7 linked regions of the Tribolium castaneum genome follow. The protein of the gene in region 2 binds, or shares a complex with, the protein of the main gene of each other region. Links are inferred from orthologs where the notes say so. Each region holds a gene or a part of one and is shown on either strand. Other genes may lie near its edges.

Evidence for each region.
Region 1: SmD1 (region 2) and ncm share a complex: the UniProt entries of both Homo sapiens proteins name them as parts of the minor spliceosome. The link is inferred for Tribolium castaneum from reciprocal best matches to the Homo sapiens genes SNRPD1 and CWC22.
Region 3: SmD1 (region 2) and Brr2 share a complex: the UniProt entries of both Homo sapiens proteins name them as parts of the U4/U6-U5 tri-snRNP complex. The link is inferred for Tribolium castaneum from reciprocal best matches to the Homo sapiens genes SNRPD1 and SNRNP200.
Region 4: SmD1 (region 2) and U4-U6-60K share a complex: the UniProt entries of both Homo sapiens proteins name them as parts of the U4/U6-U5 tri-snRNP complex. The link is inferred for Tribolium castaneum from reciprocal best matches to the Homo sapiens genes SNRPD1 and PRPF4.
Region 5: SmD1 (region 2) and peptidyl-prolyl cis-trans isomerase H share a complex: the UniProt entries of both Homo sapiens proteins name them as parts of the U4/U6-U5 tri-snRNP complex. The link is inferred for Tribolium castaneum from reciprocal best matches to the Homo sapiens genes SNRPD1 and PPIH.
Region 6: SmD1 (region 2) and 116 kDa U5 small nuclear ribonucleoprotein component share a complex: the UniProt entries of both Homo sapiens proteins name them as parts of the minor spliceosome. The link is inferred for Tribolium castaneum from reciprocal best matches to the Homo sapiens genes SNRPD1 and EFTUD2.
Region 7: SmD1 (region 2) and Tango4 share a complex: the UniProt entries of both Homo sapiens proteins name them as parts of the minor spliceosome. The link is inferred for Tribolium castaneum from reciprocal best matches to the Homo sapiens genes SNRPD1 and PLRG1.

The regions. Positions count from the first base shown.
Region 1 is NC_087398.1:673,705-678,556, forward strand, and holds ncm (pre-mRNA-splicing factor CWC22 homolog), read right to left. Parts: upstream 3,033-4,852; 5' UTR 2,904-3,032; coding exon 1,739-2,903; intron 1,561-1,738; coding exon 891-1,560; intron 833-890; coding exon 397-832; 3' UTR 351-396; downstream 1-350. UniProt on the Homo sapiens protein: Required for pre-mRNA splicing as component of the spliceosome. As a component of the minor spliceosome, involved in the splicing of U12-type introns in pre-mRNAs. Promotes exon-junction complex (EJC) assembly.
Region 2 is NC_087394.1:7,020,040-7,023,367, forward strand, and holds SmD1 (probable small nuclear ribonucleoprotein Sm D1), read right to left. Parts: upstream 1,549-3,328; 5' UTR 1,408-1,548; coding exon 1,394-1,407; intron 1,291-1,393; coding exon 939-1,290; 3' UTR 818-938; downstream 1-817. UniProt on the Homo sapiens protein: Plays a role in pre-mRNA splicing as a core component of the spliceosomal U1, U2, U4 and U5 small nuclear ribonucleoproteins (snRNPs), the building blocks of the spliceosome.
Region 3 is NC_087397.1:20,448,160-20,453,010, reverse strand, and holds the start of Brr2 (U5 small nuclear ribonucleoprotein 200 kDa helicase), read right to left. Parts: upstream 3,187-4,851; 5' UTR 2,970-3,186; coding exon 2,925-2,969; intron 2,745-2,924; coding exon 2,581-2,744; intron 2,523-2,580; coding exon 2,248-2,522; intron 1-2,247. UniProt on the Homo sapiens protein: Catalyzes the ATP-dependent unwinding of U4/U6 RNA duplices, an essential step in the assembly of a catalytically active spliceosome. Plays a role in pre-mRNA splicing as a core component of precatalytic, catalytic and postcatalytic spliceosomal complexes.
Region 4 is NC_087397.1:1,344,578-1,349,463, forward strand, and holds the start of U4-U6-60K (U4/U6 small nuclear ribonucleoprotein Prp4), read left to right. Parts: upstream 1-2,042; 5' UTR 2,043-2,183; intron 2,184-2,243; 5' UTR 2,244-2,247; coding exon 2,248-2,416; intron 2,417-3,557; coding exon 3,558-4,095; intron 4,096-4,142; coding exon 4,143-4,541; intron 4,542-4,587; coding exon 4,588-4,886. Other genes in the region: zinc finger protein 131, read right to left, coding at 863-1,150. UniProt on the Homo sapiens protein: Plays a role in pre-mRNA splicing as component of the U4/U6-U5 tri-snRNP complex that is involved in spliceosome assembly, and as component of the precatalytic spliceosome (spliceosome B complex).
Region 5 is NC_087395.1:17,966,214-17,969,602, forward strand, and holds peptidyl-prolyl cis-trans isomerase H, read right to left. Parts: upstream 1,645-3,389; 5' UTR 1,566-1,644; coding exon 1,482-1,565; intron 1,436-1,481; coding exon 1,259-1,435; intron 1,214-1,258; coding exon 920-1,213; 3' UTR 875-919; downstream 1-874. Other genes in the region: G-patch domain and KOW motifs-containing protein, read right to left, coding at 1-132, 180-378, 429-619, 671-804; peptidoglycan-recognition protein 2, read right to left, coding at 1,699-1,889, 1,940-2,058, 2,104-2,323, 2,373-2,430. UniProt on the Homo sapiens protein: PPIase that catalyzes the cis-trans isomerization of proline imidic peptide bonds in oligopeptides and may therefore assist protein folding. Participates in pre-mRNA splicing.
Region 6 is NC_087401.1:10,799,388-10,804,295, reverse strand, and holds the start of 116 kDa U5 small nuclear ribonucleoprotein component, read right to left. Parts: upstream 3,092-4,908; 5' UTR 2,745-3,091; coding exon 2,628-2,744; intron 2,581-2,627; coding exon 2,360-2,580; intron 2,310-2,359; coding exon 2,041-2,309; intron 1-2,040. UniProt on the Homo sapiens protein: Required for pre-mRNA splicing as component of the spliceosome, including pre-catalytic, catalytic and post-catalytic spliceosomal complexes. Component of the U5 snRNP and the U4/U6-U5 tri-snRNP complex, a building block of the spliceosome.
Region 7 is NC_087397.1:4,268,530-4,272,854, forward strand, and holds Tango4 (pleiotropic regulator 1), read right to left. Parts: upstream 2,693-4,325; 5' UTR 2,580-2,692; intron 2,529-2,579; 5' UTR 2,497-2,528; coding exon 2,381-2,496; intron 2,329-2,380; coding exon 1,971-2,328; intron 1,924-1,970; coding exon 1,424-1,923; intron 1,377-1,423; coding exon 1,175-1,376; intron 1,124-1,174; coding exon 932-1,123; 3' UTR 873-931; downstream 1-872. Other genes in the region: Tbcb (tubulin-folding cofactor B), read left to right, coding at 1-207, 260-476, 524-641; uncharacterized protein LOC656577, read right to left, coding at 3,075-4,007. UniProt on the Homo sapiens protein: Involved in pre-mRNA splicing as component of the spliceosome. Component of the PRP19-CDC5L complex that forms an integral part of the spliceosome and is required for activating pre-mRNA splicing.

The sequences.
Region 1 (4,852 bases), on a different chromosome or scaffold from region 2:
TACTGTTTTTCTTCCTCATAAAAATACCTTTGATCGGATTTATTGTTTTTAACACGATAGCACCAATTTACTACACAATGAACAAAAATTAGTGACACACAAAATGACAGCTCGGACCCGACGAAACTGCTTGCCAACCTCGCCAACAAAAACCACCAAGCCTTGTTCACCCAAATTTTCAGTTAAAACTAACCCAAAATTAAAATTTTCACCCAAATTTGTCTCATTTTAGCAAAAGCACAAACACGCAATTTAATTAACACCCACATTTCGTCAAAAAAAATGCCAAAAGTGTGGGTTTGACTAAGCGCCAAATTCAAATCTGGTAACTTTAAGGAATCAAACACAAGTCACAAATAAAAATATTTATTCAATACAATTTATGTACAAAGTAACTTATCTCCTACTCTTATGCTTCCTCTCGGGGCTCCTACGCCGCCTCCGATCGTCTCGATCGCGTGACCGTCTCTCATTATGTCTGTGTTTCCTCGCATCTGTTTTTCGTTTTTTATCATCGTCTGATGCTTCTTTTGTCGGTTTTTTCCTCTTCTTTTCTTCCTTCTTCTTACGTGGTTTCTCATCTTCGGAACTTGACGAATCCGAATCACTACTATCGGAACTGGATGAGCTTGAACTGCTAGTGCTACTGCTGCTAGAATCACTTGATTTTTCAGTAATCGTCAAGGGATTGACTTTAGGGGCTGTTTTCAAATGTTCCCTCAACTCGGCCGTAAGCCCCCCTAAGCCAATCGACGTGAAAAAATTAATCGCAAATCTTGTATTTTTGGGATCATCGCGCGGAAACAGCCCCTCAAAATGTGGCTGAAGCGTTCTGAAAAAAATCCAAAAAATTAACAAAACCTCGTTAATTATCAAACACAGTCACTTACGCATCTTTAAGCCTGGCATTTAACTTCTCCAAGCCCATATATTCGGCCAATTCCTGGAACAAAATCTTGATGAAAATCCGATTGGAACTATTGGTATCCTCTTCGTTCAGTTTCATAATTTCTAAAACCTCCCATCCAATCGCATCGGTGAACAACAAATGTGCGAAAAACTTGCTAACATTTCGCAATTTATTTGTGTCAAGTCTGTGTGTTGTGGCGTACGTGTCTTTGAAGATTTGTTGGAATGGCTCGACATAAATCTGATTCACTTGACAAAATCTCTGTGCCAATAATCCGTAAAACTTCTCGTAAGTCCGTTGTTCGGCACAACAGTCGAGGAACATGTGGCATAATTCGATTTCTTGGCCCGGTTTCAGTTCCATTTTCATTAGTTTGTGGGCACTTTCCTCAAAATCTAAACTTGATTGGATGGTTAAGTAGATTGTTCTGCGTAGGGCCACGAGGTTGGTCTCCGTATTGTCGATTATGTTGGATTCGTTCTTTTGGGCGCCTTCTTCTTCCTCTTCGTCCTCGTCTTCGTCGTCTTCCTCGTCACCGGACTCTTCCTCCGAGCCGGAGCCCGACTCGCTGTCCATGTCCAGGATTTCCTTGCTCAAAGTCTTGTACTTCCCCTCGTTTTCCTCGTAGTTGTCGTCGAATTTAAACACATCTAGACAGGATAATCACAGAGTGAACGAGGCAAATTAAGGAATTAATTAATTAAAATTTCAAAATAATTTTTTCTGAGAAATAAAAAAATAATAATAAAAAATCTCAAAACCTGGATACCCCGATTTTTTTGTATAAAAAATTAAGTACAGTTCCACCTAATTAAAAAGTTTCCTTACTTAAAATATCCTCAGCATTTGATTGCTTAACATCATCCAGCGTAATCAAATGTGTAAACTGGTGCTCCTCATCCACCAAATCCAACTCTTCAATAACAGCGGCATGATCCTTAAACCCGTCCTTCCTGATTTGGAACATAACTTCAATCATGTACTGAATCCTCGGTTCCAACTTCCCCTCATGTAAAATATTCCTCAACATTTCAAAGATGGCATTAATGCCTTTACTCGAAACCTCAGTCAATTTCTGTCCACATTCCTTCAGAAACGAAATCGCAACTTCAACCGAATCATCAGTTGGCGTCTCCACCAAAAGAGTCAAAATCTCCAAGGCGAGAATTTCATGCGCAACCCTCTGATTAACCAAATGAGCCACAAAAGTCGTGGCCGAAATGCAGATAATTTTATTATTCTGCTTGAAACCGCGCTTGAATTGCAAAACCAAACGTTTCAGTAACAATTCTCCAATATTAGGGAATTTCGAATTGATGACAGCGACCAGGGCTGCGTACACGTTTGTGAAAGTTGGGGACGCAGCTTGCGCTTGTATTATGGACTTGCAGAGCAGTCCGCGCCCCCTTACCACATTCTCATGGAGCAATTCCCGCGAAATAATCCCAATGTTGGACGTATTCACCTTGTTAATAAACCCATGAATGGATTTTTTTAACGCCTCCCACGCAATTCTTTGATACGCCGCCGAGCTCTTATCAGTAATCTCCGCTTGCATCATCCGCAGCTTCGCTGGAGGGATGTAAGCCCCACCTGTCCGTGTCAGTAAATCCACGGTTTTGCGCTCACGGGGGGCTATCACCGACTTATCCGTCTCCTTCTCAGACTCTTTGTCTTTATCGTCGGGCTCGCCCCCGTAATACCTACTACCCACCTGATGGTCATCCTTGCGGGGGTATTTGGTCCAATATCTATCGCTGTTTTTCTTGTGTTCTTGATCCTCGCCGTAATACCGAGGGTATTCTTCAAGGGGGCGGTCCAAGTCGTGGTATTTGCGACTTTTGCGACGGTCTCGTGAACGCGAACGGCGGGAACGCTTCCGGGAGTCTTTATGGGGCGAGTCGTCACGACGTTTTTTACGGGATTCAGGGGATTTGGAGCGGCTTTTACGCTTGGGTTTGGGCTGTGGGGAGGTTTCGGTGTCGGTGGTCATTTTTTAAGCACTCACAAAAACACAGTAAGAAATTGGGGCGATTATTGACAACACACAACAACGCAAGAGGTTGAGGTTATGTGGCACTGGTGATAATGACAAATTCCCTACTATTTTTGAATTTTAAAGTCGCCAGATTTTTTTGTGCATTTAGAATAAATTATAATTAATTATATGTACGTGTTTACGCAATTATAACATAACTAGAGGGCCAGGAATTGGTGGTTTTATTAATTCCAGACATATTTGAAAATTTACAGACTTACTAAATTAGTGACAAATCTAAAATTTCAAAAAAATTTGAATGTGATTTTGGGGGTCACGTTTGCCTAAAAAATATATCACGACCTGGGAATTTTGGGATTTTAATGATCTTTAAATGTTAAATAAAAGAAAACTAGATGATGTAACGTTTAGCTATTGATAGAAAACAAAAAGTACCTACATGGAAGTAATTTTGGCAAAATTTGTTACTTTGGAACCTTAAATATTGATTTAAAAGTTCAAAACAATAAAATTTTAAGTAGAGCATGTCTGAAAAGTTTGCTATTTTTTTCTTGTATTGTGTATTGTTTGTTTGTAGATTAACATATAATACGTGTTATATTTTATGATAACATTTCAGGCAATTGAGAAGACAAGATATGATATTGTAAAATTGTGAAATAGTCAGAACCTTATGGTTCTCAGGTCGCGATATTTTCAGAATATTTACTTCGACAGCGACTTTTAATGTGTTCCCATAAAATGAATAACTTGACACAGACTTTCGCTTTTTCTTGAAGAGAAATGGCTGTTGGTGCAAAAACAAGCAAAAACCGATAATAGTGGCTAATAACAGCTCTAGCGTACAATTAAATTTTTATGGCACAATAACAAGTTCGATCAAAGATTTCTCAACAATACTTCCGCGGTGAAAAGAGCGTTTTTACGGCATACTGAAAGTGTTACAAGGTATTTTATTCAGTTTGTGGATTTTAAAAAATCGGCGCGGAGAACGATAAGGTCACGCATTTTAATTTTGCGGAATTTCGCGGAGGCCTCCCATGAATATGTGAAATGTTTGCGTGTACCATATTTTATTAAACAGTTTGAACAATAAACAGTGCGAATGCAGCGTTTTCGAGGCATCAAGGTCACTGCCAAGTGAACTTAAACCCAGCTCCAGCTGTTTCAAAGATCGACCAACGAAACCAATCCGTACAAAAGAGCCCGAGGCTGCTTTATGGAGAGTACCCATGCTATAGCAATTCAGTTGGTTCTCAACCTTTCGGTGCCGATACCGTGCGCGTTCTCCTCTCCCATTTTTCCAAAATTTTGCCCAATTTTTGGTACTTTTTCTAAGTAAAAAAGCGTGCCGGGTTGGTGTAGGTGCTAAAGGTGCTGGGCCCAAGGTTGCGACTTTTGTTAATCATCTTGCTTGGAATAATTACAAGTGGAACTTGCAGTCATGGTAAATAATTATTTCGCACAAATCGCTCTTTTTTTAGAAATTAATTGACCACTCGCTTGAGTAGTTAGGGGAAAGAATTTTAATTATAGTTTTGGGTGCAGTTCCGATAAAAAGGTCACAAAAGGGTTATCGTAAAATGCGCAACAAGACCGAAAATAAGGCCTCCAAAAGTCGTCTCGTTGCTCTAATCGCAATAATGAGTAAACCTTTTAGTGGTCAACTTATCGACCCAAATAAGTCATTAAAAAACCACTTATCGTTACTCATTTTAACATGTTTCTGCAATAATTACTAATTAGTTTTCGTCGAAAAATTGTATTGTATTTTTTTGGGTCGTGGAATTATGTAAACGTGATGTCATTTGTTTAACATTTAAAAGAAACATTACCATAAAAATATTATGCACCTCCAAGCATTAGCATGTGTCGCACTAAAAGCTAAAAATATCGTCTTTATGGGCGAAGCCTTCCAGAGGCATCAAAGACCTTTCGGTGGC
Region 2 (3,328 bases):
CAAAAAGGAGCAATTTGTACAGTAATTTTGTAGTTATTTATCTCATTATCTATTATTAGTTTTTATGAAGAAAACTCTGCATCGAAGACTTTTGACCTGTAAATTGGTAGGTACCAAGAAATTAATGAACCCAAATTTATTCATTACCAAAAATCGAGCACATAAATACCAAAAAAGCTTTAATTTAGACATCACTGTTATGCAGGCTTGTAATGTTGGTTGCATACTCGATGGCAAGCAATTTCTATATTTATTTTGATTTTGAGAAAATATTTCTTATCTCAAATCTGAATGAGTGATAATGTTTTAGCTTTAACTTTTTGTATTGAAAGTAAGAGAATGTTCCTAAATTTGTAAAATAATTATTAATATAAAAAAAATTGAGGTTAAATAAAGTGATAGTCCATCTGTTTCTGTATTGATAGTCAGTGTTTAAGACCACCCGAAAAATGGGGCTATCTTTAGGAGAATGTTCCGTCATGAAGGAGGTAATCAGTAAAACGTTAATTTTACCAAACTCATTTAACCATTTGTAGATAACAAAAACAGAAGAAGCAATCAAAGCCTGTTACGTGAGGGTCCAACTTTTAGAAAAAAAGATCGAATCTGATGAAATCCCCAACGAGAAAAAAGCCGACATGAAGAAAGAGTTACGAGAAGTTCGCAAACTTTTAACCACAAACGAAAACCAACTTTCACAACTCCACAGACACAATCGAAAATCATTCGCATTTGTAGCCGCCTTCTGTTTTGTTTGTTTCACAGTTTACGTTTTATACATTTTAGTACAAGGTCCCGATTTTTAATAACAAAGACATTTTAAACCTAAATATGTTTTATTGATGAATTTAGCAGAATTATAAAAGTTTTACAAATACTGGAACTAAACGAAAAGATTCACACTTACAATTACGAAACTTAATTTAATGAACGTATTCTTATCTACGCCCTCTCCCTCTGCCCCTGCCTCGGGGGCCCCCTCTGCCACGGCCCCTCCCGCGGCCTCTGGCAGCCCCCCGGGCGCTCTCCTTCTTCTTGGCCTTGGCTTTGGGGGTGTCGTCAATCAGCAGAGTCTCGAGGGGTAAACTATCGGGCAAAATGTAGTAACGAATGTTGTTTCCTCTAACTGTTAGGGTGTCTAAGTTCACAGGATTTCGGTTCTTTACAGTCACTTTTACAGCTTTTAAGTGCGTATTCATGGCCACATCTACACCGGTTATAGTGCCATGGACTTGTGTGCCGTTTTTCAGCTCCATTGTGACCGTTTCATGGCTCAGTTTCATTAAAAACCTGAAAATGGCCGAAATGTTAGGTTAGGTGGTTTTTCAGGAGTTTTACTTGGAATTCAAGGAAATAAAAACGTGTCTGATCAATCAGTAGTTTACGTTCTCACCTTACTAATTTCATGTTGATATTTTTGGTGTAATTAAGACAATTTTTATATTATGCCGGCAAAACACGCTTGGCTTACGTTTTTTTACCCCCCCTCTTCCATAGAGGGAAAGAGAATGAGCATATAAGAAAGAGATGGCAAGAAAACTTGCGAAGGGAGCGCCACTTACGTGGCGCCAATTTTAAATCGTTATTTTTTTTATAGGTTTGCAGATAATTATGGACTCTGAAAATAAAAACAATTCTTTATTATTTACTATTATCACAGCTATTATCAAAATAACCTTGCTATTGGCACGTAGTAACAATGAAATATTTTGCTTTATACAGTCGAACTTCGATCACCCGAATAGGCCGTTGCCACTTCAAATCATCTTTGTAGAATACAGTGGAATAATACTTTTGTTGAGTTCAAGTGATTCCTGTTATTATAATATGAGCAATTTTTTTAACTAATCCAACAAAGTGTTTACCTTAAAAATCTCAACTCTCTCTAGTGCATCTAGTGTTCTTGTTCTTAATTTTTATTAGTTGCGTGTTTTTAGTTAATTAATTAATTAAACAAAAATTCGTGTTATAAAAATTTTTCGAATTCAAAATTTGAAATTGAACAAAATAATTGGTGGAGTCGGTTTATCCCCGTTCGGGTGACAGGGGTTCCACTGTATGAATACATTTTGCGGAGAAAAATTTAAGATTAGGTCGATTATATAAATTATATGTTAATAAGAAGTTAGAAAATACTTATCTGAAAAGTTAAAAAAAGTAATTTTTGACTTGTTTTCGCCTAAATTATAACTATAACATGAGAAAGATACGTTTTTAGTTTGACAGTTTTTGAGTGAGGCTTCAAAATTGCTGAAATTATGTGGACACGATTATAATGGGCAAAATTAGATTATAGGATAAGAGGGTTAACCTACAGAAATTTGGGCATAATTATTCACTGTACATAATAACCCCACTCTCCCCTACCTAAAGTATTTGAAAAACACTTGTTACTGATTAATTTATGTTATTTATTACAATATTAGAATAGATAACACAAAACTAGTAATAATCATTTTCGCAAGATCTCGGGTCCGGTCGCAACTCTGACCTCTGTCGAAAGAACTGAAAAATTCCGGTTAGTTTTAAGTTATCAAATGACTACGTTGCAAGTACAAGTTTATTAGTACAATTTTATTAAAATGTTACTTAAATAAAACCATTTTTACCCAAAAAATTTACAAAAAGTCATTTTTGGATACAAATTTTCTAGTTTTACTTTTTTGAATTATGTTAAAAGACTAGGTGGTTATTTACCAGTGAACGATCGATTATGAAATTTAAATAAAAAAAAGGATAAAATTGGATTATGAAATTAATAATAAATTAGTGTGACTCAATAATTATTAATTTTTTGTGGCAACAAGCAGTGAAAACAGTGAAAACACTTGGCTAAACTAATTAGTTACAAACTAGATTAAAAAAAGTAAGTTGTAATATTTACAAGTTTATTTTTTAATTCGTAGGTATATTAAAACTGTCCGTTCCTGCTCTGATGAGGTCATTGTAGAAGAAATAAATTTTTTTTTAAATTATTCTTCGAAACAAGAAATATTTTTAAAAAAGGTATACTTGTACAGACTGTTCAAAAATGGTTGTTCAAGTCGACTAAGGAATTTAAATTCATTGAATCACTTCGTTTAAATAACTTATAATCTCTGCATTTTGCATTTTTCGGTAAGAGACCGGAAGAAGAGATAATAAAATATTTAAACATTACCAAAAAAACTCATATTTTTTTTAATCTCAAACCCTCTTTAACCACAAACTTATCAAATAAAACGAGATCAAATACCACAAAAAATATAGAGGAAAGAATAAGAAAGGCTTTCTATAGAATTGATCATGCTACATTAAATAAAGTGGTAGTCAATTTACAAAAAAAATT
Region 3 (4,851 bases), on a different chromosome or scaffold from region 2:
TTTTGGTAGAAGTCATTTTTTGTTTCCCTTGATATGAATTCGTAGAATTGTAAGGGATGCTTGGGAGATCCGAATGGTTGGTGTGTGTGAGGGCTTTTAGGGCGAGTGTGAAAGATGGGAAACATGTGTTAAAGATGAATGCCGAATGTCTGGATTTTTTAGAAAATAAGTTAGTCTGTAACTGGCTTTTGTAGAGTAAAGTGAAATTAAAAGGTCCTGTTGAGAAAATCGTCGTTTAATTATCCTATAATCCTGACGTAATAAATTATAAACTATAACACCCTGTTTATTGTTGTAATTTATGATTTTGAAAAACTCTACCAACCTTTAATGTTTCATTCTTTCACACATTTTGTGTTAAGAGTTTATACCGAAAAGACCTCTCTACTTTTTCTATCATTCCGCGAGAACCGAATGACACTAATGATCGTTCTCTGTGCTGATGTCAGGGTGACACAAGATGATAGATAACTTGGATTCAACTTACAAATCATAATTTAAATTGGATCAAAGGCGTAAATGAAATACGTTTTTTTGGGTTGCATCGTCAGATCGTCAGGCTGCATATTTTATCTGAATCACCCTGTATTAAAAGTCGCTGTTCCTACAAGGTGAGCGTGCCACAGGAGCCACCAAGAAGATGTAATTACAAATTTTTTCGGTCAAATTTCGAAAATAGGACGCGTTTACAATAAAAGCGCTATAGCTTTCTATCGTTTATCGAAGGTTTTAGCCTAATAATTCTTCCTTTACGTTCACAGTATTTTTTTTTGGATTGGTTACTGTGGATACTATATAATATACGATATATTTTTTTGACCTAACTTTTTGCTCCAATTGTAAGGCCCCAACAACCTTACCTGACCTGACCTGACCTGACCTGACCGAAAAATGTACAAAAACATCCGAATAACACTAACATAACATCATTTACACGCTTAAAAAAAGTAGAAACAATAATTATTTACCTAACGAGTTTGGAAAGTGCAATTTCCCACATGAGCACTTTGTTTGCGAAGTGCGAATGTGGGAATGGCTTTCCAAACAAGTTAGGTACAATATTTTTTGTAACGAATCTCTGAAAAATTTTTTTTTTATAATTTAGTTTTTTTTGTTAATGGGTTGCAGGTCAAACAATCAAAAAAAAGACATGAGCTGTCAAGTATCATAAAGAAAATAATCGTTTCCGTCTCAACGGTAGCCAATTAAAAATCCCTAGCCATTGTTACAAAGTAAAAAACACCGCAGTGCGGGAAAGTCCATTTTCCACACGCTGGAATTTGGTAAGTTCCTGAATTAGCATTTTGTCATTAGTATTTGAAAAGTAGAAATATGTTCCAAAAGAGAAACAAAAATGCCATATTTGACTAAATTTAGGTATTTTATTAAAAAAACATGTTCACTCATGAAAAAAAAGCACGAAAGATACCAATTTTTAATAAATGCAATGATTTTTTGGCTAATTTTCGACAAAATGAAGCAAATAAAACACATATTTCAAAAAAAAAGTTCAGAAAGCTCGCTCGCAAATCTAAGTTTTACAGCAAAAAAAAAACACACAAATAATAACATTCTCAAACTAGTTAATTTTTCGGTTCAGTTTTAGATTAGAAACAAGCTTACAATCTCAATAACATATTTTTTTATATTACATGATGTTATAGAAAATATTCTCGCAAAATTATTTAAACTAATTATTGTTTCCGACTAAAACTTTTGGACCTACTTTATTAGTAAGCTTCTTGTTATAGTAAAATGTCTGGCTACAAAAAAAATAACTATTTTAAACTCAATTTTGTGATTTCTCAACTTATTTATAACAAATTTCGCGCAATAAATATTGAAAATTACGTAAAAGTGCCACAATTTTTTAGCTCAGAAATATGCTTAATCCCACATGAAAAAAACTAACGCCATCACGTTTGAAAAAAACATCCAGATTACACAGAAATTAACCTCATTTAGTGTCTTCTTGCCCTGTATGTGTAATTCTCAAAAGTTCTAATCTTAAAAATCCGCTTAAACAATCGAAAAGTAGAAAATAATATTTTTAATCCAATTTGGTGGTCGAAAAAGACAATTTTCTTATTTTTTTGTTAAATAAAAGTAAATAACGTGAAAAAAATTATAACTAACGTAAGTAACGCTTTGAGGTAGTAACTAAAAGAATAAAAATAAATGTAAAATTGGAGCTGACAAAAATTTGCGTTTAAATAAAAAACTACCGCAAAAATCTAAATTACAAACCTAACAGCATTTCAGTCTCCTTTTTCTTTTCTTTCTCCTTCAACCTGTCGTTCTTTAATACTGTTAAGACCTCATCTGCTGCACCACAAAGAATATCTCTTGGTTGATCCCCCAATGCTTCTTGCAAAAAACTCAAAAGCACTTCATACGTTTGTCTAGTTTCTTGCGTTTTAGGTCGATATATTATTCCCACCATTTCATCCACACCTTCTGAAAGTAATGTGGCCCCCTTCATTCGGGCGAAATCATATTGGGCTTCGTCACGTTTTTGCCTCCTAAAAAAACAAGTTCAAATAAAATATTAATACAATAATTGTTAGTGCAACAACTTACTTAACTTTCCGTTCTTCTGCTTTGCCGGGTCGAGTCCTCTGTGCCCTGTCACCCATTTTAGTCCCCGATAGTTTTCCAACAAGGGAAACAACTTCACCTGTAGCCTCATCTCGACTTCTTCTCTCAATCAGACGAACATCAGCTTGAAGCACGAGATTTGAGTTCTACAACAAAGTTTCGTGTTGTGATAAACAGAACGTAACCTAAACGTTGACGCGTCGTTGATGAAATCAACTCATTTTGCTCCCGAATAGTAATTCTAACTAATCACAAATTTAAATTAGTGTTGTATAATATGTTTGCTTAATTGTAGAGGTAGTAGCAATGCATTTTTTATTACTTACAGCTTTATATTCGTATTGAAGCTGCCTTGCCGCAGCATCCGCCATGTTGTTAAACTATCCACTTGTGATGCACTTGTGGCTACACTGGCCGCAAGGTCACCAACTGTGCGTGAGCAAAAGTTCTAGTTCACTTTGAAGGTTGCTTGCAGAAAAAAGGTTGTTTGGGTGCATCACGGCCTCCTAGATTGATAAATGATAAAAAAGACTTTCTTACGTCTCTTACACGGCACGTCGCATGTGTCAAATGTCTGTTTTTTAACCAAAGTTCCACAAAATTCTGTATGTCACAGCTCTCTTGTGGCGATTTTAAGAAACATTTACAGGGAACTGCAAAAATGATAAAACAATTTCACATTTTCAAATCAAATTTAACGATTTACACTATTCCAGGGTTTACACTTTCCTGTCATTTTACAAAAATTGGAGAACGTTGTGCTTACACTCGTACCTCTCGGATAAAGTTAGAAACAACATATTTTTGCAATACATTCCTCAATGACTGTAAATTCGGACGTACACCCGAGCTTTAGTTTTCGCAAACTAAAACGGAGAAAATTCGCGACATTTGACTTAGCGAGCTTGGTCCAGCGGTTCTGTAGTCACTATAAAGGTACAGATTAGAGGCATAGATTAAAAGTGGATTAGAGATCATTGCGACGCCATCTGCAATTTCATTCATAAATAGTCGAGTGGCACATCTGCCTTGCCCTTCGACCTTCGTTTAGACTGGGCAAATTAAGATTTGTTGTGAAGCCAACATATGCAAGTGGGGGAAATGATCGATGGTACGCGAATTTGACCCTTAAGTAACCCTTCTCTGATTGGTTTACTCAAAATATTTCCAAGTGTTTCGTTAATATTCGTCAAACTTCGTGCAATCTCGATTGTGATTAAAGGGAAAAATTATGAATTTTGGGCTTAAATTTACCTGTGAATGGGTAAAATTTGGTTCTTGTGTCGAAATATACAGGAGAAAGTATCCACAAGGGCTTATTCATCGATCATGTCATGCGTAAGTTGGAAAATACACGTGTTGATCTAAATATGGAAACATACCAGTGGTGTCGTTACGTATTCTGATTTTCCGCTTTGATACTGAATATTTTTGAATATTATAACTCTGACGGCATGTCATAAGATAGAATTAGAAGTATTTTAGCTAAGGCATTTTTTTAAACTCGAATACATAAATTGTTTCAGTAACTTGTAATGAATGTTTTTTCAGTTGTTTGCCCCTTGAATACAAGCTGCCATTGAACAAGGAGTTAGCTTCCTCTGACCCCTCACTCCCCTCGCCGTGATGTTGGGTTCAAACAAACTGCCAACAAACTCGCTGTATGGCGAGTCTATACGACATATGGTCGAAGGCCTTGCTTTAATCTGTGACAAAGGTAGATATGCCCCGATCTCCACCACGCGCGCATATTGCAGTAACTTTAAATTACAATAACTTGGTAAGTATTACAGATATCAAAATGATTCTTCCACCAAAAACTTATTTCAACTATGGGATCATTTCATCTCGCATATGTGGAGGTCTATCTTTTAAAATAAAAAATTTTTTCGCATCTCGAACATTCCATAACACAATACAAAAAAAATGTAATTTTCTTACTTTGCTTTTTGTAAAATCTAAAGCTTGTCTATATATACGTTAGAATCTACATATATTGGGGAAGCTAGCGCAAAAAAATGAATTTTCTTACTTTATTTAGAAGGAAAATATGACGATGTAAACACAAATTTTGCGCAATTTTAGTTTTTCAAAAATTTTCAGAAAAACGTCTTTTTCATAATGAAGGCAATTCCAAGTCAAAAAGCGACCTACAGATTTAGCAGGAAATTCTTCGTAAGAATCAGTTTTAAGCAATCGTGTGCAATCGAGTCCGGACCAACTTCTTAAATCAGCGACTTTTGAGATGCTTGC
Region 4 (4,886 bases), on a different chromosome or scaffold from region 2:
TAAGAAATGGTAATCATCGATGAAAGAGAGAGAAATTGAACCTTTCCAGCCAAGTTTTACATTTTTATTAACAAGCTTTTGGAAAAGTTGAGCGTCTAAATAATGTTATGTACAAAATCTATGAGATTTTGGGAATTTGTCTATGTATTTACAAAATACGTAGGTACTTGAACCCAAAATTGGTTCTAATTTTTAGGAAAGTTGAACCTGTCGCTGCTTGGCCGCTTTTAGCATCTACGTGAACTTTAGATTCTGTTTCAAATTGTAAAGTTATTGGGAATTCACGATTTTGTTACGTTTTTCATACGAGAACACCTTCAATATCATTTTTTAGAAAATTTAAAAAGACGACAGGGAATATGAAGGGTTTTTGATGACCAATTTTTGGGAAGAGATGTTTTACTAAAAATTGTGACTGAAAGAAAAGCATTTTTAGCATTGAAGTATGTTTTAAGTTATGTATTTAATATTAAAATAAATATTGAAAAATTTCAGAAATGTGAACGTTAATATTGGTAGGTAATATCTACGTTTCCTACGTCCCTGGTTAAATTTGACGTAAAATTATGTCATTTTATGCATTTGACAAAAATTATAACCTTGAAATTATTTTCGACATAAACCTTTGACATAAGTTACTAACAAAAATTTTAATAAAAAAGGATAGAAATATATACCCTATCCACATAATACAAAATTGGCTCGGTTTGACGTTCAGTGTCCCAACTCTCCCAATAAAGGAACTCTAGGGTTTTATTGACGTTGCGAGGAGAATCGATTGTTGGCAGTTTGCGGGCCAAGTGGAGTTTCTCATGGGGTCATGAAAAATTGAAGGGTTTTGCTTTTTTTAAAGGGGGCTTACGTGGTCGACGTTGATCTCTCCTTTGTACATGAACTCGACCAAGCACTTAATATCTACATATTTGACATCTTTCATGATGAGGATGGGGTCTTTTTCTTCGTACTGGGACAGGATGGTTTCGAAGTAGGTGCTGCAGGCGGAGAGGACGATCTTGTGGGCCTTGATGGTGCGCCCCTCGCAGGCCAAGGTGACGTCGCAGAAGGCCTCCTTCTCGAGGAGCTGCGAGAACATGGTCTGCAAGTTCGAATGGTGGTACCTCCATCTTAGACAATACTGTTGAGGCAGCATTTTTGGTTATGTTCGTCCAGCTTCCTTCCGACTGTTCGCGTTGGAGATGACGAATTTACCAAAAAGTAATGAGTCACCAGCGTGAGACCTTCGAAATAATCAATACTCGTCGGTTTTGGGGCCTTTGGGCGAGCGTTTGTTTTTTAAATCACCACCACTTCACTGGCACGGCACAACGCATCCGCAAGTCGACTGTTTTTGCGAGGTTTAACAATACAAAGTCCGGCCGAGGATTTCTCAAAAATTTGGAGACGCGTATGTAAATGTTCAGTCATTTGGAAAATTCCGACAAAAAATGTGTCCCTTAGTTTTTTATGAGTCAGTGAGCCAATAGAAACCACGTAAGACCCCTATAAACCATGTATAGTCCGTATATTCGCCGGGCCAAGCCTTTAAGGCAAATCAATACCGCACGTCTTAAAAAATTCTCGCGTAAAAAATCTTGGGAATTGTCGAGGTTTTTCGTCACACACAAATATTTGTCGAGAGCAACGGCTTTTCAGCCTAACTAACGGCACCAAACTCGACTAACGCAGATCCAAAACGGGGTCAAAAATTAAACCGACACAGACTCGGACTGTACTGTAATTAGGCCTTTCATATTTATTTTTATAAACTTGAGATTTTTCAGAGCCTGGGAAAGAAAGAGAAAATCTATCAACTGTTCAAGTTCAACGATCGGTCGTCGCGCCGATTTCGCACAAATTCACCGATTCTTTCACGATTTTCGCACACAAAACACCAGCACGGACATTGCACGGCTATTTAGGCGGTTTCCGCGGCACAACATCGTACATTTACTAAGATTTCCGGACCGAACTTGATAATCTCTCTCTCTCATGGAATTTTTTGGAAAAAAATTTAGACAGAGATAGCAAAACGCTATGTAAAGAAAACAGAAATATTTCTTTTGTGGAAGAAATCGTAAAAACTTGCCGTTGGCTACACTGAACTCACCAGGCGGTTTTGGTTACTTTTTTTGCGACAAATGTCAACTTGACGTTACGTTTTGAACCGATAGCAGTGATAACATGTAAACAAACGTTTTTTACGAATTAACTTGCACAAATACTCATTTTTGCTCAATTTTTAGCACCATGTCCGACGATGAGGACGCGCCTTACGTGAAAAAAACCAAAAATATTCACTACGGCTCGTTGGAGGAAGCGGAAAGAGCTAGGTTAGCAGCCGGCGATGGGAACGATGATAGCAATGAAAAGGCCGAAAGCACGTCGGCGAACCCGCCACAGGTTCACATTTCCACAGGTATTACTTTGGCATCCGTAATTTCGTCCAAATGCCAAAACCTCGCACACAAATGAGCTAAAGCTCAAGTCAACATCAGTTTAATGTAGCGCTAAAATATTCACGAAAAATCTAGTACAAGTGGTACATTATATATTTCTTATTCCTTAATGGAGCCTCGTGGCTCAAAACCCAGGTTCTGTTTTTTGTAATTTCTGTAAAACCAAATTTTGAGTCATGGAATCAAAGTTTTTTATTAGAATACTTAAAATCTTATTATTTATTTATTTATACAGGGTGAGTCAGTCATGAGTTAGTTCTGAAATCTGATGCAACCAGTAAAACTAATTCCACCTGTCCAGTTGTATTCCATTTTTTGAGTATATTGTTAACTTTATCTTAACAGTTTTGCCACTGATTTTGCTAAAACTCCTTTATGAACTACTATTTTTTCAAAAATAAAAAACCGAGTAATTTACCCTGGTATCTTTATTACATGAGAGTATTAAGAGTAAAATTTATCGTTGTAACTGATCGTTTAAATGAATTTCATCGTAATTTATCTCAAAAAAAGCTGGTAAGCAGAAGGTTAAAGTCTCAACATTGTAGCCAATATTTTCTCCAAATTCTTGTGATAAATTTTTTGCCAGTCGACATTTAGTGACATTTGAAGCGCTCAAGAGTGGCTTATTAACGGCCCAGTCAATAACTAGGTTCACATATTGACTCGAGTTGCTTTGTCATGCGAAATAATATGATTACAGATTTTTAAAAAAATATAAAACCTGAGTGATTCAGGAAAAAATCAGGTTTAATACAGCGATTAACTTGCACTTTGGCTTTGAAACTGACAGCCGCGGTGTTATTAAATCAAATGCTTTATTGCGCTATTAAATAAATAATTCGTATTAGAACTCCTTTAATGCCATAAATGCACAATAATATTAAATTGAAAAAAGTTGTGCCATAGGCCCCAGCTTTATATAATTTTTGCTTTTTAAAAAGAACAGTTTGTAGGTGTACCTACGAATGGTAAATAAAAAAAATGTTTATATAACAGCAATTATCACACAATTATTAAAAATGCGTGCTTAGGTGCCTGTTTTTATGTTAAAATCTTTCACTTGAATCTAATAAATACTGTTACGTTTAATTTATTCAGAATACATGGAGCTTGAGGACGCCATGTCCCGCGACAAGCAAGCCCTCTTGGAGGAATTCGAGCGTCGTCGTAAAGCGCGCTCTATTAACGTCTCCACCGATGACGCCGAAGTGAAACGAAACCTTCGCCAATTGGGAGAACCGATCTGTCTATTCGGGGAAGGACCGGCAGATCGGCGTTCACGCCTCCGTGAAATACTAAGTCGTATCGGTGAAGACGCAGTCATTCGACGCGAAGCCGAAGAAGAACGTAAAAATTTCGAAAAAGATCTCGAAACAACGTGGTATCATGAAGGCCCCGAAAGTTTGCGAATAGCCAGATTATGGATAGCGCACTATTCACTGCCGCGGGCCAAAGCCCGGCTTGAGGAAGCCAGAAAAGCGAAGGATTTATCAACGGCTACTAGAACAGCCAAGAAGCAGGAAATACAGAAAAAACTCCAGATTATGTCGATTTATTCGAGTCAGATTGGCGATTCGAGACCTATTGCCTATTGCCAGTTTAGTCCAGATTCGAAACTTTTAGCCACAGCTGGATGGTAATTATCATTTAATAAGTGAAATGAAATTATTTGTTTGATTCAAGGAGCGGGTTGTGTAAAGTGTGGTCAGTGCCCGACTGCACACTCAAACAGACCCTGAAAGGTCACGCCTGTAATGCCAGTGCTATTATTTTCCACCCTAGAGCAACAATCAGCCAGGAGGAAAATATTTGCAATATGGCATCGTGTGCAGCCGATGGTTCAGTAAAATTGTGGGATTTTCAAAGCGAGGAACCGATCGCTGATATCGAGGGCCATATGCCACATCGTGTCTCCCGGTTGGGCTTTCATCCCTCTGGAAGGTTTCTCGGGACTTGTTGCTTTGACTGTTCCTGGAGATTGTGGGATTTGCAGCAATGCACCGAAGTTTTACACCAGGAAGGACACGTCAAACCTGTCTATTGTATTTCCTTCCAGATTGATGGATCGGTCTGTGCCACAGGGTAAATACTTTTGGTAAATTGTGACAAATAATTAATTTCCCAACAGTGGTTTAGACTCATTTGGACGTGTGTGGGACTTGAGGACCGGAAGATGCATCATGTTCATGGAGAGTCACTTAAAGGCGGTTCTAGGGATAGATTTTTCCCCTGATGGCTACCACATTGCCACGTCTAGCGAAGACAACACTTGCAAAATTTGGGATTTGCGCAAACGTTCCGTCTTGTACACAATCCCAGCTCATACGAATTTAATTTCGGAGGTGAAGTTTCAAAGGGACGGCGGCGATTACCTAATTACTTCATCGTACGATAACACGGCGAAATTGTGGACAAATCGGACCTGGC
Region 5 (3,389 bases), on a different chromosome or scaffold from region 2:
GCCCCCTTCACAAGCTGGAGCGCTTTACCCTCCTTATCTACACTTTGTGAAGGGGTGCTGGAATTGACCATTTTATTGGCACCCAAGCCCAGGCCTTTGGGGCGCAACTCTGGGACTTTTGGGACCTCAGATCTAGAAAAAATCATTTTCAGGATGTGTTTTAGAAAAGTTAAACCAACTTTTTGGTCCTTTTCCCAATTGGCATTCCCTCTTTCCAATTCATGCCACGTAACATCGCCATACCAAAATCTGTAATTGGTACACTTTCGTAGTCGTCGAGAGACGACTCCTGTGCCCCCTCTGCCACAAACTTGTCGTCATTTAAAGGCAAGGAGTAGACTTTTGTCTCGCTTTGTACAGTGTTGCGAGTCTGTGCCTCTGAAAATTTTATTCACACTAGAAAATCACTTGAAACATAGGGTAAGTACCTCGGATTAACTCTCTTGCCGCTAATTCGTCAAGAGATAGGGCAGAGTCTGGCACAGAATTTGCCTCCCCTGTCTCTTCTTTAACTTCAGGTTTGACGTGTTTTTCCCTCGCTTTTTTTATTTGGTCTATTAATTTGTTTGATGGGCCTTGGATTGGTATCACCAACGGCTCATTTGTCTCCTCAACGGCACTAAAATGAGGTTTTTGGCAAAAATAACATAACCTCAAAAACGAAACATACCCTTTTATTTTAATTGATTGACCCTCTAAACAGTCAATTAGCTGTATCTTATTTTCGGGTTTCGGAACACTTGACCTGATTTCGGTCTTTTTACTAATTTTGCTGAAACCGAACGATATTTTTTTATTTTCCATTTCACGATTATTTACGTTTTTGACAAGTGAGGTTATGGGACCACCAACCTGACAAAATAAAAATTTAAACTAAGTTTTATTTTGTGCTTTTATTATTAAAATTTGAATTACACTACTACATTTGGCCACATTGTACAATTGTGACCGGGATTTTGGGCTTATTGTTGGGCCCCGTGGGCACGTTTTCGATTTTCCGCATGACGAGAAGTCCGTCAATAACGCGTCCAAACACCACATGTTTGCCGTCCAGGAAATTACACTTTGCACAAGTTATGAAAAACTGGCAACCGTTGGTGTCTTTGCCGCTGTTTGCCATTGATAGAAGTCCAGGACCGTCATGTCTTAGGTTAAAATTTTCGTCGGGAAACGTTCCGCCCCCATATATACTCATAACGCCGGTCCCATCGCCCTAAAAATATTAATTAGTTGCGGAATCGCATCCCGTGATTTTTACATTGACGAAGTCGCCCCCTTGGATCATAAAGTCCTTGATAACTCGGTGGAAACTAGCCCCCTTGTAGCCCAACGGCACGCCGTCTTTGCGGAACTCGCCGGTGCAAAACTGGCGGAAATTATCGCTGGTTTTGGGGACCGCGTCTGCGAATAACTCGAAAATCATTCGGCCGATTTCCTGTAATCGAAAAATACAGTTTTCGGAAATTTTGGGTTATTGGTACCGTAGTTCCGACGGAAATGTCGAAAAACACGACCGGGTTCGCTGGGTGCTTCAACTGGGCTTGAATTTGGTCCCAATTCGGCATTTTTACGGTTTTTAGTTCCCTAACCTCGAATAATCAAAACAACATAACCTCAAACTTGCGACTAATGGGCGCCATATTTAAATTCAAAATCGTATGCTTTATAATAATTTTATTTTAAAAACTAGAATACAGTTTATTTCGGCGGGGACCTGGTAAAGTGCGGCCAGTTCTGTAGTTCGCGGTACAGCTTTAGGCCCGGACTTTCCGTCGCGCTGACTTGGCGGGCCCCAAACAGTTTGAAACTTTTGCCCAACTCTCCCAACTCAACCCCGCATTGGAGAAAATCTTTAGCGGCTTGTATCTGCTTTTTATTTGGAAGTTGAGCTGTAATAAAAGGCTCGTAAAGTACGAAAATAACACGAAAAACAACCTACTCGTGTAATTGCCGATGAAACCGAGCCCCAAAGACCGGGAGTTGTACCCACGTGTGTGCGCCCCCACTTTGTGCCAACCTGCGCCCTCGTAAATCTGGCCGTCACCACCCACTAAAAAACTAAACCATAATTAAAAAAAAAAAAACAAAAATCATCAAATTTACTTGTATCCAATATCGTGAAAATCTAGATTTTCCATGTGAAAATTCTGAATGTTTCGCAAAATCGCCGCACATTCTTCCTCAGTGCTGCAAGTGTTGGTCACCGTGTGGTGCACGACCACGTTTTCGACAGGGATTAGGGCGTAATCCACTTCCAAAGCAGTGCGAGCCCCCCATCTAGTGCGACTCACGATTTCGGGGCACACTGCCGGCAAGTTTGACTCTGGAAACACCTCATTTAGCAATGGATGGGGTTTGAGCGGTGGTTTTACCTGTTCGAGCCAGAATTTGGTGCAAAATTGAGAAAATAATCACGAACTTTCGTCCCATATTCAACTTTGCCTTGTATGCAAAATTAAAATTATTTATTTAATTAGCACGTCCTTTAATGGAACAACACGAGTAACCTTCGAGATGATAAACTTCTGCATTTATATACGGTGACCTGTGGGGTCTATGACTTTATCTTCTTGTTATGGTTTTTATCTCTGGGTTGTGGGGATTCCCGATCAGGGACTTCACCAACGGTGACTAAAGTTAAATAAAAACAAGAGCAACGAATTTAATTTTATTTTTGTGCTGGATTTTGCAGTCTTCTTAGACGTCCTTATCACTATCAGTTCTTATCATGTTTTATTAAATCATAACTTAACGTAATTTTCGTTACGCAGTTATCAAGTCACTTAGATACGGGGGGCAACTCAGTCAGTTAATTCGCAAGGTTTGTGCGGGAAAAAAATTTTGGTTTTTAAAATTTTGCAAAACTTGTTGAGAGGCGCTGCCCGTCCGTTGTTTACTTCTTTCAAGGTTGCCTACACTGACCGTCTGGAATTTCATATCTTGACATTTGTGATTCTGCGAAAATGCCTAAATAAGGTCATTTTCCTAAAAAGTGCCGATAATTCGTGATGTAGTTGAGAAGTTTTGCTTAAAATTAGTATTAGAACGGCAGCTTATTACCATGGATGACCTAGGTAAGGACACAAACGCTTCGCTTATCCTAACCACCTGCCTCATAACCTAAATTTGTCCCAAGTTAACACATTATTAACAGGCGTGTTATCAGTAGCGATTGAAATTAAATTGAATATTAATCTTGATAACACCAATATTTGGAAATTGGTGCAATAATTAAGTGGGAGGTCAGCGATCAGCGGTTGCAAAAATGTTGACTTGTTGCAATTTTGTAAACAATTCGCCTGACAGGTGTCAATTAAACTGACGTAACCCCATTAATTCAGTCTAAATTTATTTGGCCGGCAGCTGGCAATTCGAATTATAAAACTGTT
Region 6 (4,908 bases), on a different chromosome or scaffold from region 2:
GTTTTCTTTTTCAGAAATTTATGATTTTTGATTAAATAATTATGTTTTTGGTTAAAAAATAATTTCATAAAAGGTAAAAATACCTTATTTTTGTGAAATTTTGTGACAAATGTAAGTATTTTTGGTTGAAAGAATTGATAAAGCGCCTGAAAACGCCAAAAAGCAATGCTATTTTCACACTAATTATTTCGTGTTTTTTGGTTTACTGGTTACTGCTCTAAAAATGTAAGAACTAATTACCCTGTTGGTTAAAAAAACAACCATTTTAATACCTCAAAAAAGCATAAATAATTTGTATGGATCTAATTTAGTGTTTTATCATTATTATAAAAGAATTGTTTTTATATAAGTACTCAAACAATCAATCACACAATTTTTTTGACAAATTTTCCTGAAATAATGTTGAGAAACGTGCTATAACTTCCGAAAACGCAAAAAATTTTTCAACACAGTCTTAGTGATTTTCGAATCAAACTTGGCTAAATAATTGCGTTTCTGGATTAAAAAGCTAGAAATACGCAAAAAATACCTTGATTTTTGATACAAATTAATTATTTTTCATGTTTATTTTTGAGATATTTCACACAATAATAACATTTTGAACAATAAAAGATGCTAAAGCACCAGAAGACAGTAAAACTAATGTTATATTCGACCTGATTTCACGAAATTTTGAACAGAAATTATTAATTTTCAATAGGTCAAGTTTAGTGATTTGTTTATTTAAAGTTACACGCTCAAAAAATGCAAAATATAAGCTATTATTTTAACTTATTTTGTGTTTTCTTGGTGGGATTTAGCAAATTAACACCTTGATGATGAAAATTTTGATCTGGTTTTAACAAAAGGTGTTCTAACCCAAACACACGTAAGTGGTCAAGAAAAACTTTTTAAATTTGTAAATGTGCTTATCTATATACTGACCCCACCTGACTGATTTTTTTGAGAAATTATTACATTTTTGGGCCAAAAACGCGCACACACTTTTTTAAAAGGTAAAAAAAAACTCTATTACTTCTAAATTTTGAACAACGTATTATTTCTGGCTGAAAAACTTGCCAAAACAATTTTATTTTCGGCCCAATTTTTGGGTTTATTGCGCTATAAATTTAGGAGACAATTGCTTTGCTGGTTGAAAACTAGTTTACTCGTTGCTAAAACAATCTAAAAGAAGCGTAAATATTTTTGTTGTGTGTTTTTCATAAAATCTTAGAAAAATGTAAATACTAATAAGAACACATCTATAATTTACATAAAAACCGGCAATAAAAAGAAAGTCTTTACAGTGTAAAATAGTAAAGTTTTGTCAAAATGCACTTAAACGCTCAAAAAGTTAATTTTTTTATTTCATTTGCTACTTCTTTTTTAACGAAATACCTTTGAGAAACGTGCTGCAAAAAAAAATTTGATTTTTCAACACAGTTTTAGCAAAAAATGTTTTACTTATTTAACAACTTAGTGAAATAATCTCGTTGGATTAAAATCGTCCTAATACTCGCAAAAATACCAAAAATTGTGTATTTTTCGACCCAATTTAGTCATTTTCTATTCTAGTTCTAGGGAAATCTCGTAAGAAGATTGAGTTTTTAGCACAAAAACGCGCTTAAACCCCAAAAAACTGCTGTATTTTACGTATTTTTTTGTAATTTTTGAGAAAACCTTATGAAATAAATAGCGTTTCTAGCTTTAAAAAATGCCCTAAAATTCTCGAATCAGGCAAAAGTTACATCTTTTTGACTTTATTTAGTGATTTCTCAAACTACTCGAATCGAAATCTCGGAGAAACACTAAATTTTTACTCAAAAAAATATGAAATCAAAATATAGTTGTTTTTCTGTCTGAAAAAATAATCTAAAATGTTACAAAAAAGGCAAAACAGCATTATTTTCAACCACTTTTCATGATTTGCTGGTCGTCACTTCAGAAGTGTGCGTTTGAGAAATGCAAAAATCGCCACACTTTTTACGTAATCTGGTGATTTGTCGACGAATTTTTGCCGAAACATCGCGTCTAAAGGAGGATTAATTATTGAGTTATTACCAGGAGTGTCAAAAATGTTCATTAGGTAACTCTTGTTCTTAACGTCCTGCAAAAGTAGCGTAATTGGGATCGACTTGATCGAGCAGCCCCTTTCCTGCTCCGTGAACAAAGTGTCGGTATATCTCAAATTTTTCTCTTCATAGTCCTGATACCCTGGATGCGTTTGCCGAATCAAACAATCAACAAACGTGGTTTTACCATGATGTAAGTGCCCAATCAAGGCCACGTTACGTATCAGCGACGTATTGTCCATCATATCGGCCAAAAACCTACCAAAAAGTGAAATTATTTTTACCCCTACTTTCACCCAAATAATTACTCCATATTGTACGTCGTATCGGGCAAATCCTGCTCCTTCAACTGAAACTTCTTTTTCTTCACCGGTTCGATCAAAGGCACGTCAAGGGGCTGCGCGTCCTCCTCTTGCACAATAGTCTCCACATCAGGCCCATAGACTTGTAAAGCAGACGGGTAGTATTGCTTGTCCTCGTGCAAGACAATGGCCATGGGTTGGGGCTCACTCTCGTCCATTTGCTCGTCCTGAAAGGGGACAATAAGGGGGCTTCTGGGGACCTCGAGACACTCACATCGTAGTCTTGCTGCTCCTCGTCTTCCTGGGGCTCGGGCTCCTCGTCCTCGTCGTCATCGCTGTCCAGCTCAGGCCCGATGTAATTACCGAACTCGTCGTACAAATCCGCGTCCATGTTCTGGCTTTTGGGGCCCTAAACACGACTCGACATAACCCCAAAAAACAGCAAAAACGGTAAAATCCACACGACCGGAGCACAAAAAACGATGATTCGAGTGGTTTTTGGGACAAATTTGCCACTTTTTGCACGATTTTTGTGAAAAAACGTTGCAAAACGTTAACAAACGAGTCACAGGTTAGGTTGTTGTTGCCGGGAGTTACCAACCATGCGGCCACAAAAAATAAACTCCCTGGACTCACTACATAATTCAAGCCAATTTTATTAATTAATTGAAACAATCACAACCAAATTGTTAGTCGCGACGTTTGGTTTAATTGATAACAGTATCACATCAATTAATTGACAGGAATTATTACCAAGTTGGTCAACCGTTCCGCTAGATGGCGCCCAATCGGCAAATATTGATTTTGGGCCTAAAAATAGACAAATGGAGCAAGGGGGCCTCTTATCTATTTATAAGCCGCTTTGCTTCAGTTTACAGAACAAGACGTTCGTTATTGTTCGTTTTATGGCCAATCGTTTGTCTTTTGTTCACCTTGTCGGGGTCCATGGCCTGCTTAGACGTGACGTAATTGTCACTAGTTTTTCCATTTACCGGCAATGGCGGGGTCAAGTTCACCCGAGGCCAACTACCGTCTTATTGTTACCATAACAACACTATCAAATTCAAGGTTGTAATAATAATAGTATGAGGACTGAGGAGGTATGGAAAAAGCAACAAAACCTCCTAAACCGTTACTGACGCCCCTTTTGTCACCATTGGTCGGGGTTCCCCCCGTTTGAGAGTTACCACGGCGTGATTGGTCGCGCTTAGCGTGGGGGCGTGGCCGGTGTCACACCGTTCGGCCCGGCTTGGCTCCGATTGGCCGCGCCTGAAATAGGCAGGTCGGTGACTTTTAAACAAACTAACCTATTTTTTTAAGGGCAAATTAAGGGCCGTGTCGGGAAATTAACATCAGAGGCGGCTTTGGCACAAAAAGGACGTTTTATTTGTGGTAAAATTTCTGTTTTTAGGAGGCGTTTTAATTGTTTAATATTGTTGTTAATTGACTGTCGTTTGTTAGTCGCGGCCGCCTTGATCGGGTCGCAAATTGTGGTGGTTGTGCCCGATTGTGGCGTTTTTTTCCCAGTTTTGTGCGATGTGGCAACGCCGCACAAGCACTTTCGACAATTCCCGGCTAAAATCGAGTTTATGTGATTATGTGTGAATCATTGAAGTTGGCCGTGATGCCACGTCACAGTTGGCGTCTCTCTCGCACTCGTGTGACGTTTGTGACGATTTCGAGGTCTATATATAGCACAATGTGGAACTAAACTGTTTAATATTTATGTAGAATATTTTAAGCAGACGATGTGATGGTGTTTTGTTTTGTTCGACGGTCAAGTAGGTCGTGGACGCGAGTTGCAATCATTACGAAATGTCACAATGTAATCAAGTTGGCAGGAGATAAAGTCGATTGTTATTTGTTGATTTGATTGTTTTATTGGGGGCACTCCCACTCCCCCCACTTGTTTTAATTGGGTGCCGAGGCTGGGAGAGTGAGATGAAGTGTTGGTGGCGTTTAGGTCATCTTTTTTTAATCGTGTCGGAGATTAGAGCGGAGATTAGAGGGTGAAGTGAGATAAGAAGACGGGTTTGAGTGTGCGAGACAGCGGCGGCTCGTGAATAAATTTAAGTAAAAATAATTGAACTTTTTCTTTCCCATACCCATCCCTATTATTTACCTCAAAAGAAGTTAATTAAAAAATAATTACTTCATTAAAAACAATTAATAAACAAAAAAGGGATTAATAATTCCGATTACCTATTCATTTTCGCAAATCTGTTTACATATTGAAAATCACTCATTTTTTGTCTTAATTTAATGATTTCTTGGTTAATTGATTTCAACAAAATCTCTCGAAAAAACTGAGTTTTAGGTTCGAAAAAGCTAATATAGCATCATTTTTCGTTATTTTGGTGAACTGTCAAGGTATTTTTGACAAAATTTTGAAAAATAGTTTCGTATCTGATGGCTCAAGTACAATGTGTTTTTAAATGATTGTCATCTAGTTAGCTTTGAAATTAGTTTACATGTAAGAAAAATTTGTGCCGCTTTGCTCAATTGAATACTCTGTCAATAAATGTCAAAACTGTCAGTTCTATAAAGCGGCACTT
Region 7 (4,325 bases), on a different chromosome or scaffold from region 2:
ATAATAAGCACATTTGTTCACTTTCAAACAATGAGGCTTTGCTTGGTTCTTATCCCTTGGACGATGGAATGAGACTACACGTGATTGACCAGTTTAATATACGCAATGAGCTTGATTTTGGAGATGTGCCTAAATATGAGTTACCCGAGGAAGAGTACAATAAAAAGACAGATTCAGTCAAGGCATTTTTAATGAAAAATAAAATGGGTAAATTGCCACCAAAACCCAAGATTTTCCAGAATAAATTGTAAATTTTCAGGGCAATATAACGAGGAGAATATAAAAAAGAAAGAAAAGCAAATGTCAGAGGAAAAACAACTGGCAGAAAGCACGCCAATTGGTTCAAGATGCAAAGTTACTGTAGCCAATGCTCCCTGCAGACTTGGCACTGTGATGTACACAGGGCCTGTTGAGACCTTACCTGGATATTGGATAGGGGTCAAGTATGACGAACCTTTGGGCAAAAACGATGGAACGTAAGTTACGACCATCAGTTGAAAAAAAATTCTAGCTTTTGTTGCAGATTTAAAGGCAAGAAATATTTTGAATGTGCTAATAATTATGGCGCCTTTGTTAAGCCACACAACGTTGAATGTGGCGACTTCCCTGAGGAAGATTACGACTTGAACGAGGAAATATGATTGGTAACAAGCATTCCAAATTCGCAAACGAATTAATTTATTGTTTTTATCAAATTAAAAATTATTTATCGTAGAGCATTTTAACCTTTACCCTCACGATTTTACATCTAGAAAATCGTAAGTTTTGTGCACTTCTGCGATTATTAATGGTCTAGAAATGTCAAATGGTTTGATTAATTTTCGGAAAATTTGATAAATAATGCAAAGTTGGGTAAAATTAAAACTTTTTAGTAGCTCATAAAATTTTATTTATTATTTTTATAAAAATACAAATTATTTTAATCATAGAATTAGAATTTCCTCCGTTTCAAAATATCGGGTTTCCAGTTAATCGGATGCGTTTCTTCAGTCGCAGTTTCATCCTCTTTGTAGATTTTGATGGTCTTGTCAGCTTCAGTTGTGATTAATCTTGAGCCAGAATTGTCGAAAATCATTGAGAATATTCCAGCTTCACTGTCCATTGACCCAGGTTGTACTGGGGCCTAAAAATGTAACATTAATCGATTGACTTCCTTCAAAGTTACAAAAATTACTTGTAATCTTTGGAAATTGTAACCGGTCCTCCAATCCCAGAAATGTAAAGTTCCATTATCGCCCCCTGAAACCAGGACGCCTTCTGGATTGACAGCGAGACAATTAACAATAGCATTATGACCGGACAAATTCTGTATGAATTTCCCGTCAGGACATTTCCACTGTTTTATGTTATCGGGTGAGCCCGACGCGAACATGTTCCTACAAATAATAAAATAATTACAAAAAAAATAATTAAACAATCGTACAAAGTCGGGTGGAGAATCACATCTCTAACGCTCTTTTTGTGATTGGTAAGCGTACAAATTGATTTCCCAGCTGCCAGGTCCCATAATCTGATTGTGGTATCATGAGATCCTGTGATAACTTGAGGTTCGGAGGCTTGCGCCACCACGCTAGCTACAGTATGCGTGTGGCCGGTCAAAGTGTGAACATTTGCTTTCGTCCTCATGTCCCAAACCCGGGCTGTTGAATCACGCCCTGCTGTTAATAAAACATCGATTGTGGGGTGAAGCGCTAGAGAGTATACAGCCGATAAATGGCCATGGTAATGTCTAATGACTTTGTTGTACTCCAAATCCCAACACTTGACCTGTCTGTCTTCACCGCAACTGAACAAATAAGGGTGTCTACTGCTCACAGCCAACCCTCTGACCGTGCTCACATGCCCAGTTAGGGACACTTTCAACTGCCCACTTGCCAGGTCCCAGATTTTTATTATTCGGTCCGCTGCGCCGGTCGCAAACCACTAACAAAAAAACGGTAACAAATTTGCTGCCAACAAAAATTTTATACCTCATTTCCTGGCTCCACCGAAACACACCTGACCCACCCCAAATGCCCCGCAATCACCCTGTATAGCTTCCAAGGGGCGTGCCATTTCGGCTTTGGCATTGTGGGGACTTTTTTCATTAAATTGGCGAGCTGGTTTTGTGTGTTATTTTGGACGCTTCGTGTCATCAAACTTGTGTCAGTGTACGGTACAACAGCCCCCTCGGTGTTTGGGGCCGCGTCGTCAGTGCGTGTGCCCGGTGGTGGGGGGTTTGGCCCAGCTTCTGCCTCCCGTAAGTGCTTCATAGCTTGCATTTTCTTAACGTCGTCAAAGACTAGGCCGTACAAGTCACGGGCTTTTATGGCTTTTCGCACCATTTCGCTATTTAATTCGTAATATTAAGGGCTGCTTGTTTTTGTGGTTTGTTACTCACGCTTTTTCGTCCACTGATGGCAGTAGTCCCTGGTTTGAGAGAAACATGTCGTGAGACCGTTTCAAGGAACGGAATACTAACGTATGTACGGAGTGTCTCTGCACGTCTTCGGTCATTGTGAAGACGAGTATTTAACTCCGGATATTTACTGAATTGTAATACTAGTAATTAATCTTCGGGTAAATAAACAAAATCGTACTTAACCTCTCTGCAAAAAATCACCAAATCCACCATTTGGTAACTTTTGGTTCGTAGAATAGACAGGAAAAGAAACTACTATTGACTCAACCGTGGAGGGAGTTTGAGTTTTTTTTTTTTTTAACCAAAAAATAGTTAATTTCCATACCAAATTGAATTGAATTTCTTATTTGGGTAGTTTTGGTCACAAAATAAAAGCACGCCAATTTTTTTAACATTTGTATTTTTCAACAATTATAAAAATAGATACGAGTTGTTTCACTTATAAATATTTCGTTATTAAGTCTACAATAAAATACATAGTTTTTTGACCACAAAACGCATCTAGTTTTTATCTGTACAAGTCCCAATGTCAACATTCCTGAGCCCAGATAAAAGCAATATTACACAAATTATTTACATTGTGAGTCGACTACAATAAAGTAGCTTTGCCTAGTGCCCCACTTTGCAGCGATGTGATTAAAAATGCAAACAGAATTATATAATGCAAAGAAACTTAATCCAACGGAGTGATCTTGACTGAAGATCCGCGAGATTTGCGATACCTTTGAAAGTCTCCTGCCTGGTAAGGTAATGCCCTCATATTACTTCTATAATATGGTACATCATACGGAGATATGTGTAATTGATTGATTGGTGGTGACCGATTTCGCCACAAAACCGCCAATAAAGAATAAAATCCACAAATGGTATTCGAAATTAAAGTCATAAAGTTGACAATAATTGGGGTGCAAACCCTGATAAGTCCTTGCGTTTCACGCAAAAGTTTCAGGAGATAGTCTAGAAGGTACTTGATGGTGTGTATCAAGAAAGTGATCAGTGTTGATAACAAAAGAACCATAAATATGGTGGCTTGTTTAATGTTGGGCCAAGTCAAGGTTTCAGTAAACAAGTTCCTCAACTGATCCTTGAAAAACTCCTGAAATTTTGCACCCAATTCACCCAAATTCTTCTGAGAAACGTCTTCAAAAATCTGAGTGGGAGTTATATTATGAACTGGAGTCTTCTCTCTGACTGGCCTCACAACTTCAAGCTTGACTCTAACTTCATTGTGGAAGAATTCAACGTTTTTGATTTTGTACCAAAAACTCCCAAAAACCTCTTCGTCCAGACTCACCCACAAATTGTAACCTGCCGGGGCCCCGATTGTTTTCGGCTCCGTGATACCAATCCACACATTTTTGGTAAAATGCTTCAAGCAGCGCTTCCTCACTGCTTTTAAATTCGCAATAAGGTCGTGTTCATCGTCGCATATTTTAATTACATCGCGGTACGAGTTCAAAGGTTCAACCAGCCTTTTTTCCAGAAACGTACCGATAAATAGGGAGCTCTTGAGCATGTGTTTTGCAAATTTGCGCACTCTTGTCTCCTCGTCATCGTCGGAAAGGCTTGCAGACGAATTTCGGCTGATTTCACTGATTTTTGTCATTTTTTACAACTGGGGTCTTGACGTGTTTCTAAGAACTGTTACGTAAGAACTACATTTGTGTACTTCCCCCAGTTACTTACGGGTGCTGAGTTGTCCAAACATAACAGATCAAAAGAAAAATACACTTATTTGCAACATTTTATTTACCAACAACTGTCACTTTTTTGACGTTACGTGACCCAGTGACATCTGTTAGGTATTAATAATAAATTAATTAAGAGTTTTACAACAAGACACCAACTTATTTTATTCAGAAACTGGTGTAAAACATTAATTTAATTAAAATGGTCCTCGTAAAGCTTGCATAAATTGTTAAAT